2 linked regions of the Mus musculus genome follow. The protein of the gene in region 2 purifies or fractionates together with the protein of the main gene of each other region. This does not show direct contact. Links are inferred from orthologs where the notes say so. Each region holds a gene or a part of one and is shown on either strand. Other genes may lie near its edges.

What was found. Proteins that work in one complex are often made in the same cells at the same time.
Region 1: the proteins of Ptpn7 (region 2) and Mapk14 purify together in Homo sapiens (affinity purification with mass spectrometry; 3 studies listed by BioGRID and IntAct, with this or other methods). This does not show direct contact. The link is inferred for Mus musculus from reciprocal best matches to the Homo sapiens genes PTPN7 and MAPK14.

Annotation. Positions count from the first base shown.
Region 1 is NC_000083.6:28,741,522-28,746,123, forward strand, and holds part of Mapk14 (mitogen-activated protein kinase 14), read left to right. Parts: intron 1-266; coding exon 267-345; intron 346-3,461; coding exon 3,462-3,635; intron 3,636-4,602. UniProt on the Homo sapiens protein: Serine/threonine kinase which acts as an essential component of the MAP kinase signal transduction pathway.
Region 2 is NC_000067.6:135,137,309-135,144,448, forward strand, and holds part of Ptpn7 (tyrosine-protein phosphatase non-receptor type 7), read left to right. Parts: intron 1-15; coding exon 16-153; intron 154-459; coding exon 460-570; intron 571-1,815; coding exon 1,816-1,970; intron 1,971-4,634; coding exon 4,635-4,748; intron 4,749-5,852; coding exon 5,853-5,946; 3' UTR 5,947-7,140. UniProt on the Homo sapiens protein: Protein phosphatase that acts preferentially on tyrosine-phosphorylated MAPK1. Plays a role in the regulation of T and B-lymphocyte development and signal transduction.

The DNA of each region.
Region 1 (4,602 bases), on a different chromosome or scaffold from region 2:
TCTGGTTTTAAGCTTCTGACCCTTTGACCAGAAAGCTAGTAAAGAGTAGCTGATTGATTATCACTCTCATCCACAGGAAACAGAACTCTGGGGAGACCGCAAGAATAAAGTCAGTGGTCACAAATAGAGGGGGTCAGTGGCTAGAAGAAGAGTAAGCCTGAATTGAGCATCCCAGACAGTGGTCCATACGGGCCTCAGCCTAGCTCATTCCCTGAGATCACTAACACTACTGAACATAGTCATTCTGAAAGTCTGTGTTTTTACAGGCAAGAAACTACATTCAGTCTCTGGCCCAGATGCCGAAGATGAACTTCGCAAATGTATTTATTGGTGCCAATCCCCTGGGTGAGTTGATCGTACTTTGATTTTGTGGTATAAATTAGAAATTTGAAGTTTTGGTTTTGACTAAAAAGAGTACCTTTTTTTTTTAAGATTTATTTATTATTATACATAAGTTCACTGTAGCTGACTTCAAACACACCAAAAGAGGGCGTCAGATCTCACTACAGATGGTTGTGAGCCACCATGTGGTTGCTGGGATTTGAACTCCGGACCTTTGGAAGAGCAGCCCTTACCCGCTGAGCCATCTCACCAGCCCAAAAGAGTACTATCTTTAAGTAACTTTTGGGTCTTAATAAATATAGCTGTTACTGTCTGTCTGTATTGTCACATAAGGAAATATCATACAGTGATAGGCTTGTATGCTTATATGCTTGCAGAATATGGTGGAGAGGCTAAGGGAAGTGAGGAATGGGGAACAGGGAATTATGGGGACTTGGGGGAGAAGGAAGGAGGTGTGAACCTTACAGCTGCTAGTGGTAGGTGGAGCCCAGCTGAGGACAGAAAACAGGCACAGACACATGGTTAATGCCCAGCAGTGGGTCCTGATGTCCTCTACACTCACAGACTCGTCCCCCTTTCCTCCCCTCTCTGCCCTTCAGGGTGTAAGCAGCTGCCTTTGCAGCATTGATTTGGTGGCTGGCTCCTTGCCTTCCTGCCTCCATTACCTCCAGGATCACCTGGCAGAGGAAGTGACAGTGGTAGCTCAGATTGTGTCAGCACAGGACAGTGTGCTAAGGTTCTAATTCCTCTCTCTGGTGTAGTAGGCAGTAGTAGATACAGAGCCATCAGACCACCACCGTCTCCTGCCATGAGAAGGGAACAAGCAGGTGGTGGCTGCTGTCCCCTGCCTCTCCCATTCCTGCAGATGTTACTGTAAAGTCACTGCACTTAAGTCTTCGTGGGTCATGTCCCTTTCTGAGGGTTCTAGAAGCCATGTGCCAGAGTTACTTATCCTTTGAAGGGCTGATGTCTGTGGCAGTGATTTCAAAAGCTGGGAGCGGAAGCTTTCACGAACTCTGTCCATAGCCACAATACTGAGGAGTGGCTGTGGCTGTGGCAATGATTCCTGTAGCAGGAGAGGTGTGTGCATTCTTGGAGGAGGGGGTCCAGCCTATGCTACACCATTCAGGCCTGAGGTGTACATGGTACTGACAGGTTGGGTTAGGTTTGTGGCTTCCCTGTCAGGCTCACTGGGCTCTCTGTAACTTACCTTGAGCTATTGCATCAGATAAGGGTCTGGGGTCTCTGTGATCTCTAATCTTTCCATGTTGATTCCACCCCTGAATCCTCACCAGCAGATGTGCGGTACACAGTGTCTGAGTCTTCTCTGATGGAGCTGGTAGAGATCCCCATTTAGACACTGAGAAGAGCTGCCTTACAGGAGTGAATCCAGGCTGCTGGAGACTAAAAGGAGGCTCTGGCCCATCTGGTGCTCTTCACAGCCTGCTCACATCCAAACGTGCCTGGCAGCCCATTGCCAAGTGCTGGTCAGAAGGAACATGCTGTTACCGATTGCTAGCCTAGCCGTCCCCAACAGGCTGCACACCAGCGATATAAATATTAACAGCCCTGTTGTCGGTCACAGGCTTCGCATCACTGCTAGCCTCAAGACACAGCTGAGAACTTCACATTGCCCTTTGATCTTAGAGTGTCTATTTATGTCTGCCTCCATACTTGAAAAGTCTTGTTCTTACTTCTGACCTTGTTCCTCATCTAAGTGCTTTGATCCTGAGGACGTGGACCTCTTTTTACCCCAGGGTAGCAGGCACCCACTCATTCATGTTCAGTATAAAGTCAGCGGATTTGTAGAACGTGAGGATTTGTATCCAGGAAGTCCACCAGTGCTTCAGTGTTGAAGACAGAGTCATGTGGCCTGTTGTGCCACCATGCTCACTGTCTGCAGTGCTAGGTTTAGATCCAAGGCCTTATGCACACTTTGCAAACTTTACTGGCTATATCCCAGCCCTCCTCCAGCACTCTAAAACTGGAGAGCCAGCGTATGCATGTTTGCTGTTTCCTCTGTACCCTCAAAGCCTGCGTTTCTGTGGATAACTGGTGTTCAGGCTACAGGGTACATAATCACTCAGAGGAGCAGAGGTATAGCATCTCTTCAGGAAGTTCTCCTCGACACCCATGGAGCCTTCCACGCTGAAGAAATCATCTGGAGCTGTAGAGATGGCCAACGGGGCCCTTGGTCTGAGTCCCTGCACCAACAGGATGCCTCACAACTGTCTTTAATTACACTTACAGAGGATCCAGCGCCCTCTGCTGGCTTTTAGATTTTCAGCCAGCAGGCATGCACTGTAGTGGAGACATACTTAAAACTTAAATCTAGCTGGGCGTGGTGGCGCACGCCTTTAGTCCCAGCACTCAGGAGGCAGAGGCAGGCGGATTTCTGAGTTCGAGGCCAGCCTGGTCTACAGAGTGAGTTCCAAGACAGCCAGGGCTACACAGGGAAACACTGTCTCGAAAAACAAACAGAAAAAAAAACCTTAAATCTAAAAACTTGTGGAGTTTATTTCTGTTTTACTTTTGGGAGAGAAAAAACCTGGAAGCCATTATTGAAAGTAACTGATAATCACCAGGAGACAAACCATCTCCCCATATTATTCACTTGGGGAGAAACGGGGAAGAGCTCAAGATGCCAACCACCTTAGCTCAGCATAAATGGAGCTCCTGGCTGTGGTGCCCCAGGTCACAGCATCACCTGTGGCATGGTCTCACCCAGTATGCCTAATTTCACTCTTACCAACAATTGAGGTGGTAAATGTAAAGACTAGAGAGAAATGGGAGAGAGTGCACACAGCATAAGGAGAGGGGAAGGAAGCCTCCATGGTGGTGTGCCACACCTGCAGTGTCCACAAATGAAAACCAAGGTGGATGGAGAAGGAGAGCTGGGGGGTAGGAGGGGGTGTTTGTTTATTATTCTGGGTTTCAAACCCAGAACCTCAGTAATGTTTTTAAAATGTGCCATAGGCATTCAATGCGTACATGGAGGGAAGGGGTTACATGCAGAAGCAGACACCTTAAAGGATGCTTTGTGTGGATGTGAAAGGTGCTTGGAACTTGCACAGTGGTGGCACTGATGTCATGTGTTTTCCTCTTTTCTGGTGTGACAGCTGTCGACCTACTGGAGAAGATGCTCGTTTTGGACTCAGATAAGAGGATCACAGCAGCCCAAGCTCTTGCGCATGCCTACTTTGCTCAGTACCACGACCCTGATGATGAGCCTGTTGCTGACCCTTATGACCAGTCCTTTGAAAGCAGGGACCTTCTCATAGATGAGTGGAAGAGTGAGTCCAGGGCAGGCTAGCGTGGGCTTTGAGCTTGCTTTCATTTTATTCATGTTTTGTTTGTTTTCTGAGCCAGGGTTTTTCTCTGTGTAGCCACTCAGAGGAACTCACTTTGTAGATCAGGCTAGCCTTAAACTCAGAGATCCATCTGTCTGTGCCTTCCGAGTGCTGAGATTAAAAGCATGTGCTACCAAGTCCCGTTTATGTAATATTTTTTAACAGTGCTGGAGATTGGACCTAGGACTCACACATATTTCCAACATACCTATGATCCCAGCACTTGGGAATCAGATTAAAAGTTTAAGGTTAAAAAAAAAAACAGACTGAAGCCGGGCATTGGTGACGCACGCCTTTAATTCCAGCACTGGGGAGGCAGAGGCAGGTAGATTTATGAGTTCGAGACCAGCCTGGTCTACAGAGTGAGTTCCAGGATAGCCAGGGCTACATAGAGAAACCCTGTCTCAAAACAAACAAACAAACAAAAAAAAACCAGGCTGTAAAGTTATTCACAGCTGTGTAGGTAGTTTGAGGCTATCCTGGGCTACATGAGAACCTGTCTGAATAAAACCCTCGTGGATGGTTGCCAGCAGCTTTCTGAGCTCACTGCCAGGGTCTCTGATGCGTATGTTCCCTGATGGGCTGCAGACACAGAGTGCAGAGCCTTCAAACTGACAGAGCTTTGAGGTGCTTGGCGGTTTTACGTTTACAGCATCTTTTCAGGATAAAGAGGGTCTGGCGTATTTCAGCACAGAACTAGGACAGGAGTTTTTTATAGCTTACTTTTGGCCTAGTTAGGGACTGCCAGGAATGGAGCCACATCTCCACCCCCAGTCATACTCCTTCATAAAGCACAAGGTCAGTTCTGCAGTTAGGACTGCCTCGTTGTGTGCAGAGTGCAGTGCTGCTCCAGGGAGCACTCAGAAGGAGCACCGTGCATGATGGAGTGGGGAGACAGTTCTGTCTGTGT
Region 2 (7,140 bases):
GCTTTGTCTCCCCAGGGCTATGACGGGAAGGAGAAGGTCTACATTGCCACCCAGGGCCCCATGCCCAACACTGTAGCAGACTTCTGGGAGATGGTGTGGCAAGAAGACGTATCCCTCATTGTCATGCTCACCCAGCTCCGAGAGGGCAAGGAGGTAGGAGGCAGGGTCATCTGGAAAGGGTCTGCACCCTACCCGGTCACACCACCCATGCACACCAGACCAGAGGCCTCAGTGGGGGCTGAGAGTCCTAAGAGGCCCTCTGCCATATCTCTCAGGAATACACCCCAGGGAAGCTGTGGGTGGGGTGACTATACACTTGAAGCTTGAGAGAGCTAGACTCTGGTCACTGGCCTGGGTCTTGAGGTAAGATATGAGGAGAGAAAACTAGGCCTCTCTGCTGCTTCAGCCCCGTGCCATGATGGGCCCTCCCACTCTGACTCCCAGATCCTTCCCTTCTAGAAATGTGTACACTACTGGCCCACAGAAGAGGAAGCCTATGGGCCCTTCCAGATCCGCATCCAGGACATGAAAGAGCACCCAGAATACACTGTGAGGCAACTCACCATCCAGGTACCTCCCCCTGGGACAGACCAATGGGAGGTTTGGGCCACCCTAGTATCTCTGAAACTCAGGCTCCACCTTCACTAAATTTACTAAATTCGCCAAGTTTACTAACTTAAACCTTGATCTCACATGATGTTCCTTTTTTTGTTTGTTTGTTTGTTTTTGGTTTGTTTTTGGTTTTTTGTTTGTTTGTTTGGTTGGTTGGTTTTTCGAGACAGGGTTTCTCTGTGTAGCCCTGGCTGTCCTGGAACTCACTCTGTAGACCAGGCTGGCCTCGAACTCAGAAATCCGCCTGCCTCTGCCTCCCGAGTGCTGGGATTAAAGGCGTGCGTCACCATGCCCGGAGGTGGTTCACACTTTTAATCCCAGCACTTGAGAGGTAGAGACAGGTGGATCCCTGAGCTTGGGGCTAGCCTGGTCTACAGTCAGTTCCGGCACAGCCAGGGCTACACAGAGAAACCTTGTCTCGAAAAACTAAGAGAGAGAAAGAGAGAGAGAGAGGTGGGTACACCCCTCAGGGGTACCTCTAATTAAATAGGGATGCACCAACTAACAAAACAGAGGCCACCAGGAAGCAACCTCTCCCCGTGCTCGAAATCTGGGCCCCAGGAGACTAGAGAGCCCCAGGGGAATGCTGGGAGATTCAGGAGAAGTCAGATGAGATATGCAGATGGACTTTAAAAAATGCTTTCTAGGGGACAGAGAAAGGGCTCAGTGGGTAAAGGCACTTGCTGCCAAGCCTGCTGTCCTAAGTTCAATTCCAGAACTCACATGACGGGAGAAGAGAACTGACTGGAACAACATAGCAAGATTCCTGTCGAGAGAGAAGGGAAGGAGGGAGTGAGGGAGGACAGAAGGAAGAAAGGAAGGAAGGAAGGAAGGAAGGAAGGAAGGAAGGAAGGAAGGAAGGAAGGAAGGAAGGAAGGGCTTTCTGTTAAGGTACACATTCTTACACTTCCAAATGATTTCTGTATCAGTTCGTTGTTCCCCAAGCATCCTGGGAGGCAAACAAAAAAGATATCACTGTGCCCACTTCTAGGGAAGAAAATGAGATTATTGCACTTATCCACAGTCCCACAATAGATAGAGGCACAGCCAAGACTTGAGCCTGGGCTAAGCTGAATAGCAAAGTAGCCAGGAGACTCACCCCTGCATGCTGCATCCCACTGTGCATGATTGATCGATAGATCACAGCACCCACACCCACATCCCACGTCTTGAGCCTTATTCTCCTGGTTTCTCACACCCCAGCACCAACAGGAATGCCGTTCAGTGAAGCACATCCTCTTCTCAGCCTGGCCAGACCACCAGACTCCAGAATCAGCGGGGCCCCTGCTGCGCCTGGTGGCCGAGGTGGAGACTCCAGAGACAGCTGCCAACTCCGGGCCTATAGTGGTTCACTGCAGGTAGGGACTTCCCTGGTCCCAGCGCAGATCCAATGCTTGCCTTCTCTGCTCACTAAGTCTCTGGTGTGGAGGCATCCAACGCCACACCAGACAGACCCAACTCTTACCTAGACAGAGCTCTGGCTTGTGGGAAGTTTCTAGTGAGGTAGAAATGAGATAAACTCCGTCCCCACTGTTGAGGAGCCCGTTTAGGCACCAGATAACATTTTCGTTGGCTTAGGTCTTTTAGTGTTGGGATTGGTTTTGTTTTTTGCTGGGTTTGTTGTGTTGTTTGGTTTTTTGTTTTATTTTTTGTTGTTGTTGTTGAGACAGGATCCCTCTTTGTGCCCAAGGTTAGCATCAAACTCATGGCAATCCTCCTGCCTCAGCTTCTCAACCTCTCAATCTCAGTTTGGGATTACAGGCATGAACTGTAACGGGCTTATTGGAAACCTATTATTGCTATCATCAGGCACAATGTTAAATACTAAGACGATAACGGTGAACAAAACAGTTTAGTTTCTTCCCGGGCAGGTTAATAGACTAGTCAGAAGAGTAGCAGATTAAACAATGAAGCAGACCACAATTCAGAGAGAGCTAGATGGAGTAGTATAGAGGCCACAGGGTAAGGTCACCTAATACCTGAGAGAGAATAAGCCTCTGAAAGGGGGAAAGGAAAACGTTCAGGCAGAGAACCTTATATGCTCAGGAAATAAACTTTAAAACAAAACAAAACAAAACAAAACAAAAAAGATACACTGTCAGGAGGGTCAGAGAGGAGTCCCAAGCTTGTGGGTGGGTGGAGCTTGTTGTGGGTGGAGCTTTGGGGGGCTTTGTGTGGGTGGGGCTTGGTGTGGGTGGAGCTTGTGGGTGGAGCTTGTTATGAGTGGTGCTTATATGTAGGGACACTGATGGAAAACAGTATGGAAGGCAGCTAAGGGCTTCATGAATCGGACTTGCATGATTGGCTAAGACACTTAGATTTGCCATTTTGTTTTGGGTTTTGTGATGCTGAATCCAACACCCCAAATCTACCATTTAAAAGCAATGCCTGGGGCCGGGCACAGCGGCATATTCCTGTATTCCCAGCACCTGGGAGGTAGAGACGGGAGTACCAGGAGCTGAAAGCCTATCTAAAGTACATAGGGAGTTCCAGGCCAGCCTGGGATATATGATGTTTTGTTGAGAGGGAAAGAGAGGAGGAGGAGGAGGACGAGGAGGAGGAGGGAGAAGCAAACAGTACACACAGGGCATGCTTGGACCCATGCAGAGGGCGCGCGCGCACACACTTCAGTGCTGGAAGTCACTAGTGGCTTCTACACACCCCAGTATACACCTCCTTCTACTGAAGGCACATGTAAGACTTATGTGGGGAGCTGAAAGCCAGAAAGGGCAAGAAGGGGAGGGGGTGTGGGAAGAGAGAAAGGTGATGGAGCTGAGAAGAGGATAATGGGATGGGGGCCCTGGAGCATCTGTGGAAGCTCACATGGAGCTGGGAGGAGGCTGTGGTCAGAGAAGGAACGCTCTGGGGGACAGCCATTGCACAGGCAGGTGCTGTAAACAGATGTGATCACCACCGTGTGCGCTGGACTAGGGTGTGGCAGAGCACACTTGAGGCCGAAGCAGTAAGACTGCTAATCAAAGGTCAGTCCTGGCTACATGACTAGACCCTATTATCAAAAAGAAAAGAAAAATCAGGGGTCACCACGGTGCCTCCATGGGTAAAGGCACCCGCAGTCAAGCCTGACATCTGAGTTCAATCTCTGGGCCCTACATGGTTTAAGGACAGAACTGACCCATGAGAGGTCTCTACTGGAGCTTCACATAGGTACAGTGATGTGTGTGCATGCATGCACACACACACACACACACGCACACACACACAGAGAGAAAGAGAGAGAGAGAGATTAAAATAAATAAAAATATAAAAGAAAAAGAAAGAAAAAACAACTGGAAAAAGTACAAATCTGGGCTTCAATCCCAGCAATTGGGAGCAGAGGCAAGCAGATGGCTGTGAATTTGAGGCCAGCCTGGTCTACCCAATAAGTCCAGGGCCAGCAAGGGCTACAGAGAGAGAATCTGTCTCAAATAAACAAACTAACAAAAAAAAAAAAAGACTTGATATGGTGGCACTCTTCTGTAACTCTGACTGTCCTGGACAACCAGGACTCAGGAGGCTGAAGCAGGAAGATTACAGTGAGTTTAGGATAGATAGTAAGTTCCAGGCTTCCCTGGACTTTAGAGTAAAACTCTATCGGGGGTGGGGTGGGGTGGGTAATCCCAGAACTTGAGAGGAAGAGGCAGGTGGATCTCTGAGTTCAAGGTCAGCTTGCTCTACATAGTGAGTTCCAGGACAGCCATAGTGAAATCCTATCTTTAAAAACATTAATTAATTAATTAATTAATTAATTAATTAATTAATTAATTAATGGTGAGCTGGACTAGGCATAGAGTGAGAGTAATAAGGGCTTACAGACTTCTCCTGCGTAAGCTGGTTTCTGCCTCCACCAGGGATCCCAGGGATGCTGGAATCGGAGATGTGCAAGTCCCACCCCACAAACAGAGCACTTTAATACCATTTCTTCTTTCATCACGTGAAGCCTTGCCTCAACCTTCCATGCTCACTTGTCTCCCCCATTCCCTGGTCTCCTGTGACCTCCCCATCCTCTCTCTGGTTCCATCCAGTGCAGGGATCGGCCGGACCGGCTGCTTCATCGCCACCCGCATCGGCTGCCAGCAGCTGAAGGCCCGAGGGGAGGTGGATATTCTGGGCATCGTGTGCCAACTTCGACTAGACAGGTGGGTCCATGGGAAACAGGTGTGGGCGGCCACAGTAATTGACAAGGACATTGGTGGCTCCGAGGTGCACATCACCTGCAGGTCCTCCTGGAAGAAAGCAAGGAACTTGTTTTATTCAAAAGAACTTTCTAGTTTGCCAATAACTAAGCCCACATGAAAGATGGTCTGAAATGTTAGCGTGGGGGCCTGGAATTAAATATGTCACCCTGAATTTTCCCTCAATCTCTCCTGGCCCCCAAATTCTCTACTCAGGAGAAAGCTAGGGAACAAGTTAAACAAAGGGTAGTATGATGCTGCATGTTTGTAAACCCAGCACTCAGAAAGCAGGGGCGAGGGTGGGGAATGTGAGGTCAGAGCCTTCGCTTGCTGCTTAGTTAGCTCAAGGCCAATGAGGCTACAGAGGGCAAGCGTCTTGACTTTTTTTTTTTTTTTTAAAGAAAAGATACAACTTGTTCTAGATACAAAGTAGCTATGGGTATAGTGGTATTCACTGGGCTTGAAGATGGAGAAGCCAGTTCAGACTCTGGGGTATATGCTACTAGCTGCTACGGTAATTCTGTAGCCACTCCCCCAATACACACACCCTTTTTTTTTTTTTTTTTTTTTTTTTTTTGAGTCAGAGTCTATGTATTCCTGGCTATCCTGGAGCTCATTGTGTAGACTAATCTGACCTCAAACTCACAGCCTGACTCTGCCTCCTGAGTGCTGAGATTTAAGGTGTACACCACCACTGCCCTGTGGCAATTGAGAGGGGTAAAGTCTACTCCCCCAACTGGAAGAAGAAATGGGTTCACTTCTTGAGTGTTTTAGAAATGAGACCTGTTCTACACATGTGGGGCTAACGGTTCGTTTTTAAGATTACAAATGAGAGAGTTGAGCATGGGTCTGATTTTGCTGAAGAGCTGGCTGGATAAGAGACAGGAGACCAAGAGTCACTTCCTCCCTTGGGGCTGTCCTGGCAGAGGACAGTAAAGGGGAGTAGGAAGGGCAAGGGTGCCTATGGGGAGGAGAGAGTCAGGGCTTCCCTAGCAGGACAGTGAGAGAGGATGCTAACCTTAGCACAGTGCAGGTGTTCTTGACTCTGACTCTTGACTCTGCTTACAGAGGAGGCATGATCCAGACGGCCGAGCAGTACCAGTTTCTGCACCACACTTTGGCCCTATATGCAGCCCAGCTGCCCCCGGAGCCCAACCCCTGACCCTCCACCAGCTCATGGGTCTCTCAGGCCTGAGACAGTGGGTCTGGGGAAGTGGGCTGTGAGCTCTGGCATGGCTTCTGCATCCGCACAGGAAAAGGATCCCTGGAATACTTTACAGTCTCAGGAAACTGCCCCAGCAAGCAACAGGAGCCAGGCCACGGGTCTTCACCTCCAACCACGACTCTGCCTTCTTCAGTGGCCCCCAGTGGAACATGCGGGAGCGTCCTGTGGCTCTGAACTTACAGATAGGAGCTGGTCCTTGCAATGGATTGAGAGAGCAGCTGGAGTGCTGGCTTATTTAGGTGCTTTCGGTGAGCTCCCTTCCTTGTCCATGACACAAAGAGTCAGTCAAACAGAATGTTCCTGAAAGCCATTCCAGATGTAGCCCTGCTGATGCGGCTGCAGAGATGGTGATTGCAAGATCCTCTTCCATTAAGGCCTTTCCCACACACAGGCCAGATGCAACAGCAGGGAAAATCCTGGTCTGACCTTGGTCAAATCTTCTCTATCCTACATAGACTGCTCCTCCCCATACACCCGTGAGTGCTGGAGGACCGGCTCAGAAGAGAATAAGGGCCTTGATTGGCCTGCCTCCATACATATCATAAAAGGAGATGCAGAGGTAACCAGCTCTAGCCGTTGGGATCACTGTATGAGCCCAGAAGTGATGATGTACCTGTCATCCTAGCACTCAGGAGTAGAAGCAGGTGGGTTGCTGCGAGTTTGAGGTCAGCTAGATCTACATTTTGAGTACCAGGCTAGCCAGGACAACATAGCAAGATTTTTTTTAAGGCAATCTTGAGCTCTCTGCTCTCTGGAGGAGATGAGGGTTGCCTCTGCTTCTATGGCTTCCTTCCTGTCATCTGCTCCCAACCACTCTCTGGGGGAAAACCCAGCACTCTCTGCTTTGCTTCTGTGACTTCAGAGCATCCTTTGGGTACCCATGAAGTATCAAAGAAAGAGGAGAGAAGAGACAAAGAGCTATGTCTGCTTCAAGAAAACCTACCTGCCGTACCTCCCCTGGCTTGTATTTCTTTGCAGAGTGCTTATCTGGTTCCAGAAGCAGGCTGGGTGGTCACCACTCCAAGCAGCATGGGGCTAAGACCTTCAGCCCTCATCATCATCACTTCACAGAATTTCCAGGGAACTCATGATCTATCTCAGGGATGAACTATGAATCCCAGAAAGCCAGAC